2 linked regions of the Drosophila melanogaster genome follow. The protein of the gene in region 1 interacts with the protein of each later gene in a pairwise test. Each region holds a gene or a part of one and is shown on either strand. Other genes may lie near its edges.

Evidence for each region.
Region 2: the proteins of Zmynd8 (region 1) and OS9 interact in a two-hybrid assay, tested with the Drosophila melanogaster proteins (one large-scale study listed by BioGRID).

What each region holds. Positions count from the first base shown.
Region 1 is NT_033777.3:31,667,223-31,671,153, reverse strand, and holds the start of Zmynd8 (zinc finger MYND-type containing 8), read right to left. Parts: upstream 1,690-3,931; 5' UTR 1,474-1,689; intron 1,338-1,473; 5' UTR 1,214-1,337; intron 391-1,213; 5' UTR 376-390; coding exon 1-375. UniProt on the Drosophila melanogaster protein: Chromatin reader that recognizes specific histone signatures to regulate transcription. Plays a role in neuronal development.
Region 2 is NT_033779.5:19,964,996-19,968,422, forward strand, and holds OS9 (Olfactory-specific 9), read right to left. Parts: upstream 1,516-3,427; 5' UTR 1,482-1,515; coding exon 1,425-1,481; intron 1,366-1,424; coding exon 823-1,365; 3' UTR 669-822; downstream 1-668. Other genes in the region: CG10680 (uncharacterized protein), read left to right, coding at 1-15, 68-286; Hf (helical factor), read right to left, coding at 1,952-2,515, 2,579-2,659.

The sequences.
Region 1 (3,931 bases):
TTCGATGTGTGAGCGCTGCAGAGCAACCATTTCCTTGGCTACTTTGCCTTTGTTGTTTGGCGTGGAGGACTTAGCCTGATGCTGTTGTGGCTGCACCTTCGTCAACTTCATGGTAAGCGAGGAGCCCACGTTGATGTTCGAGGGACTCGAACTGGATGAGTTACTGCTGCAGTTGGCCGACCCAGGCGGAGCACTGACAATATACTTTTGACGCTTGCTGGGCATGATGACCGGCTCCATCTCGACGTGGCCATCCAGCGAGGAGCTCTGCAACTGCGGCTGTGGGCTGCCGATGGCGGAGAGGGCCTCAAAGTCCGGCCGGGGAATGGATTTTAAGCTATCCCCACTGCTGTCGCTGCTGTCCGTGCTTTCCATGCTCTGTGCGAAAGACTGAAAATGATACATTTATGGAACAGTCTGGCAATTGAGAAATCTAAATAATTGTTTGATGTTTTGCCTCTTAACTTATTTTTAGTTTTTTTCTTTCAATATTCGTGAGGTTGACTATAGCTATTTAATTGATAATGCTGCTCTATAAATAAATTTTAGGAATCCATATGTACAATATTGGGTTTTTAATATTACAATCAAACAGAACACTTGAAACTCTTTATTAGCTATAATGTCAACGAATCCCCCTCATGTCCTCCGACACAACAAATTTAATTTTGAGTAATAAGCTAGAGAGGACATCACAGTCGAGCAAAACCACAATTCTATACTTAGATGCAAGATACCTCTCGTTTTACGCGCAGGCGGATCGAATCAATTCGACTAGTGATCCTGTCATAACGAATACACAAATCTAGTTGCTTTCGGACCACCCTCTCTTCTACATGTAACACACTTGTGAATGGATGAAGTGTTTGCTCTTACTCTTCGAGTAATAGAAATTGCAGTGTGGAGGTGAGGGCACACAGTATGGTATAAGACCTTCAATTTCGTTAACAAGTACATATTTTAGCAATAAAATCAGAGACTTGGAAACCGCAAATACGATATGCTAAACCGTATCAGCCCGACTCGCCGAAGTGTGCCGAGTGTGACGAATTCGCCAAATGGGAATGTGTAAATGCAAAGTGTCACGGAATCGTGCGTGTTGTGTTTGCCGTTCTTTTTTGCGTCACCAGCGCAACTTCAGCGAGTGCTTGCGGCGTGTGCTCCGCGCTTCCTACTTATTTGCATCTGTGTTCGCTTCGCAAATTTTACGCACCTGCGATGTTCACGTTAGGAAGCCTCACTGTTACCACTCTCCCCTGGTGATTTGAAAGTGGGAACCATAACTGAGCGATTTATTTCGGTCCGATCTGTTTCTGGGCGAGATTCCTCTGTCGCATCTGCAAGAAATGTGTCCACGATGAATTTAGTGTTTTCAGTGTGTTGTGCTGCATGACCAGGTTTGCTGGTGCGGAAGTTAGAAGGGGAGGGGGAAGAGTGATACGCGGAAAGCGTTTCCTTCTGCCTGGCTCTTACCAATTTCTCAGGGCTGTGTGCGAAAATCGCAGATTTGACTGGACGCCTTTCAGATCGCTGTCTCCAAACGCCGGTTTTCGAGCCTTCTACGTACGGCGATTGTCCGACGATCGGCGCCCTCAATTGATGTAACGCAGCGCCTTCCTAGTTTAATTAATGGTTTTGTTGTATTTTATTTTTTCCCGAAGTAACAGTGCTGCCAGATGACAACAGTCCCGATGGCTATCGAGCTATCGTTGTAGGAAGATTAATCGAATAAGGGTTTTCGATACATTGATAGATGAGCTGATTCAGAACGACCACTTTCGATTGTGCATTGGCGCGCGTTTTAAATATTTAAGTCATTATCAACGAATCGAATTCATTTGAATTTTGAATCTGCATTACTAGGCAAGCTAAATTTTTACAATGAAGAACTAAATTAATGGTGCCCCTTTCAATACTCACGGGCACAGTTGGCAACGCTGGCTGGGGCGAATACTCGCTAAGCGAACTAGTTGGCAATATTGGTCGAGGGAAACTTTGCTTTTCAAAAGTAAAGTTTGATGAGTTCATAAAGTTTTCAATATGTATATACCATCATATTGGGTGTTATCGCATTATTATGTTTTCGAAATTCATGAGCAGACAAAGATTACTTAAGGACTTCCAATAATACACACAGTGACAGAATCCAAACAACAAGGCTAATGGCTTACCGCTTACATTTTGCCCTTTAAATGCCCAATAAATTCAGAACATTAATCATGAATTAATCAATGCAAAAATTAAATGAGTTTAAATAAAGGATTACATTTAATATACGGCCACGAGGGCCGTAAAATTTACTACTAGTCAGGGATTAGATTGGAAAGCACTAGGCCATAAAAGTAAATCAGCCACATGGTGGGACTGGGTCATGCATCATAATTTCAGGTAATTAAGTTCGGTTTTATGCGATGATCTGCTCTAATTTGGCTTTGCAAAATAATGAGCCAAATAATGACCAGAAATGCAAAAGCATTTACATGAATTTATAATGGAGCGAATAACCTTGAAAGTTCCATAAATCATTGGGCAGCTTCACGAAAAATCTTCTACGGCAATTCGAGGAGTTTAATTAAAATTAAAAGGCTGCGCCAACGAGACCAGCGCTCTGGACCCTGGACATTCTCCGGCACCACTTCTCGACTGGATATAGCCCTGCTGGCAGGTAAACAAGTTATGAATCCCATTACATAAACCATTTCCCAGGCTGACAATACCAAGCGATGTGTCTGGTGTGGGGGGAGTGAGCCGTAGCCCAAGGACCACGACCCCACAACGGTTGAACTTCTACAAACGGTTTTCATATATTCATGGCAAATTATAATGCTGCGAGAGTATAAAATGCGACGAAGAAAGACAAAAGTTGCCCCATTCATAAGGGTCACACTCGGGCAGGCACGGCCTCCAACCACCTACCTACCTGCCACCCACTGAGCCACCCACCCACCGACCGGCCACCTGTAATATGGACCCCATACCCTCTGATGGCTTCCAAAATAGCGACAATGTCGGGCTGCTGCTGGCCACGTGTAAACATGCATCTCCATATATCAATAAATTGAGATTACTTACATAATTTGTATTCCAAAATCCAAAAACTGTTAAAAAAGTTGCCTTGGCCCCTTTTTCATACGATTGGCTATGTGTGTGTGTGTGTGTGTGTGTGTGTGTGTGCAGTACACGAGTACATTGTGGAAAAAGTTTTTCTTTTCGAGTGAGAGTGGCTGGGGAGTTTTCCTCGGGGAGCAATTCGGTTAATATTCCGAACATAAATTTGCAAAGGAACCACTTTAATCAATGGCCAGGTAGGGGCGTCCGTTCAAGGGATAGGTGAGGCACATGGTGTGTATATGGATATGTATACGGCGCAGGGATCAAAGGACGAGCCCATCCCCGAACCTCCCCGCCCCGCTGTTGGCTCCTTTTCGAGGTGCAATGTACCATTTAGCGGCGGTATTGATTTGCCTGAGAAGATCAGAACAATGGGCTGCGATTTTTCCGGCTCATTCGCAACTGATTTTGGAGGCGGAGATGCAAATATCTGGTTGGCTTCACCCAGAAGATTCAAAAGGGCTCGCTTTCGGGTAACGTTTAATTATGCTTACTTTAAACAATAACTAAAAGCGGTTGGTACCTTGCCCCTCTCCAATTTATTTAATAATAGAAATTCGCTAACCATCGCCAGCTTCAGGCATAAATTGCAGAGTACTCCGGCTAGCCATGGGGGTTCGGATCCGGGACTCCATTCCGGACATTGTTTGTTTTTCTGGCGGAAAGAAGATGGAACAGTAAGTGGGACAGAGGCAGGGGTCCGGGTAACCGGCGATGCGTCCCATTCATAACCCATATTCAATTTCGTTTTGCAGCTCCGGCGCCGCAGGCGGCAGTTCTCGGATTCCACTGCCAGTGCATCCTCATGGTCGACGGCTTA
Region 2 (3,427 bases), on another chromosome or scaffold:
TTTGTATCTCGACCGGTAATCTTGTGCAATCGTTTTCCTAACTAAAAAACTAATACACCTTCTCCAGGTACCTATGCCATCCAGTGGTTCCATTATCCCCCTTATCGCCGGTGGTTCCAGTATTCCGACTGGTAGAAGTGGTCCCCTTGGTTCCGGGGGCTCTTCTAACAACTTTTACCGGAGCGAATCCTATAGCTACACATCGGATGGAAGAGGACCTCCCCAAATCGAGCGGGATGTGTTCGACTCGCGGGATGGATTTGGATCATCTTATCGCAACTTTTAACACCTTTCCTAAGAGAAGCTGATGAATGAAAGTTCCGAGTTCTCAAAAACAACTAGTTAAGGCTGCTAGAGATTATACTGACTTGTCTGTGTGTAATGTAAAGATTCTTGGCATTACAAATAATCAGTTATTTTACTTTCCGCACGGTTTATTTATCAGACTAAATAACAATTGTATTGAATAGAAAGTCAGTAAAACTTTCAAAGCTATTGAAACCTGACAGCTTACAAATCTAAAAAAGGTATATTAAGGTATTCAATACCTTTGTAAAATGAATTCCACATTTCTTACGTCATACCTGCACTAAGTAGTAAACACTTACTAGCGTATTTATTATATGCTCATTGATTGTTAAATCAGCTGCAATATGTAATCAAATTTTAGCTTCCGGCGAGCGTGCTAATACAAAACATGAACTCTGGACTACTGGTTTTGATATTTGCAAGGCAGTTTCTGGAAATAATATATACGTTCGGACTATGTATCTGTAGTTATTTGGTTTAAACTTAAATGTACTTGAAACATGATATGTTTATTCAAATGAAATCAGAGTTGGTTAACTTGTCCAGCTTCTCATAGACATCCTTTTCGTTCTTAAAGTCATTAAACTGCTTGACCATCGCCGCGTTCCTGGCCAACCGACTGTCGGACCATGTGCTCATGTATTTCTCCACCTTCTGCTCTACGATTTTCAGAGTAGTTTCCAAGTTTCTTTCCAGGATCTGCTCCAGGTCCTCAACTCCGTGCTGTATGAATAGCTGAACGACAACCTCGTCAGCTTCCGATTCGAATTCTTTGCTGCCTGCAATCGAAATGATGCTTTCCAGTTCCTCAAGAGCATCCTCCAGTCTGTTCAGCTCGAATGAATCATCGAAGTCCAGGGTGTCCAAGGCCGCGACGAAGTCCTTAAGCTCCCTGAGAATGTGTCCCTTGGAGTTTGGTGGTAAAATGAGTTCGGCCTCGTCGATGACCAATTGAAAGACATGTCGTAGCTGTTCCATGGCGTCTGTTACCATTTGAAAGAGTTCATTGGACACTTCGAATTGTAACTGCCATTTGTTAATGAGAGGCGCTGCAAGCTGAAAGTTAAAGGTTTCTGTTGATTCCAAAAGGATATAAGCAAATCTAAGGATCTTACCGAAAGCTGGAGGGCAGCTACAGCGACTAGAAAAGTCCAAGTTAGTCTGCTGGCCATGATTTGAAACTGTATCTAGTCTCTATCGAACTGATTCCTTTTATATTCCCTCTCTTAAATTCACAATTTTTATACAAAATGGGAGAACGCCTCCTCTGTAATGAATACCCACTGATCGTGAGACAACGTATAGACTGTAATCAGACTTCAGAAATCGGTGAGCGTGATAAGAACGAGTGCTGCCCCTTCGTATATTAATTAGTGGGTAGTGGAAACCATGCATTTTGTTATTACAAAGTCGTATATAGTTCCAAGTCACGATAATATCTTTATTGCTTTAAAGTATCAGTTCTCGATATCTACACATGTTGATCAGACAGTCGGAAATTTTCCGGAAGTTAAACGGCATTTTTCAGGAATAAAGTCCTCGTATAAATAGATTCCGAATATTGTTCTTTGAAGTACATTTCTCATTTTATTACAAACACTTTCTAATTCTATGATATTGTTTAAATATTTAGCTATTAATCTTAAGCCTTCGTCCATATACCACTGGCCACCCCCTGCACCAAAGCCTGAGCCAATTTGGTGTAGTCCATTAGCTGGAGCTCAGGAAGTTGGCTCTTCAGGTTCTGGGGAAACTCCAAGAAGGTTGTGATCAGACTGTCCTTGGTTTCGGTGGCCAACTGGGTGACGTTGGAAACCAATTCCGACCTGTCCTGTCGACTGAGTCGCAGATACTTGGTAAGATGCGGCTTGACCTTGGCGAAGAATCTGCGGATGGCGATCTTCTCGCCGGGAAGAACCTCGACGAGCAACTTATCGGGAGTCTTATGGTACATGAGGTCGCTGTTTATCCAGGCGAAGATATAGAATGCAGTGCTGTAATAGTCCTCGTTCCCAGCAACCAGGTCGAGCTCCTCGAAGTACTGCCGATCGATGGTTTCGTTGGCCGGAAGACCCGGTAGTCGTTGGCGGGCATCTTCGATGGTCGTGTAGAGCACCTGATTGAAGAGCCTCTCCACCGCTTGAATTGTATTTCTCACCAAGATGGTAGGGCTGCGTTCTTTCACTTGGGATGAGTCCGCCAGAGCCTGGCAATCGAGAGGAAAATCAATAAGTTCCTTATCTAATCCACTGCCGACTCACCGACTCACCAGACAGATAAGACCCAGAAGCATCGAACAGCAAGTGCTGCCGCCGATAAGAAACCTCGAACTGCGCCCTGATCTCGCCATGCTCCTCTGATCGCTGCTCGATTTAGACTGATCATGTCGGACGGATGCCAAACGGTCTCCCCACCCAAACAATCTCGACTGGCTTAGGTTTTGTTTGTTTTATTAAGCGCAAGTAGAAAATATCTCAAGTACTGTTTATACGAATTTCGTAGAGTGAGCAAATTAATGGCCATTAATGTTCGTTCGTGGTTTTCTATTTAAGCTAGCTAGGAAAAAAAGATGCCGTCTAGTCGAATGTTAGTAGTAATCTGCATACACACGAGTAACATTAACAATTAGATTTGTAAATTACACATCTTAGCATATACTTAGGTTATTAGCAAGCTACTGCATTCTCATATTGATCCGGACTATATGTATATATATATTCATATTCAGCATTTGTAAATTGGCTTGTAACGGGAAGAAAGTCGTCCGGATAATCAAAATATGCTCATTCTTTTGTACACTTACAACATTTTCAATCTGATCTCTAAAGGTTGGTAAAATCGAAAAAGTGTTTTTAAATAAATTTAATTGTAAAGAAAAGAGTCTGGATTACCAAAACATCCTTAATAATTTGTACAATAACCATATTTTCTATATTATCTTTTAAAGTTGTGTAAAATCAAAAAATATCAAGGATCAAGGATCGTTTGGCATGCGATAAACGTCCTTATAACTATTTCATTTTGTATCTCTGCAAAAGTACTTATACATAAGTCTTATTACATTTACGTTCAGAATAATACGCTTTACCCGCGATTGTTGGCAAATGCACTGGCATTT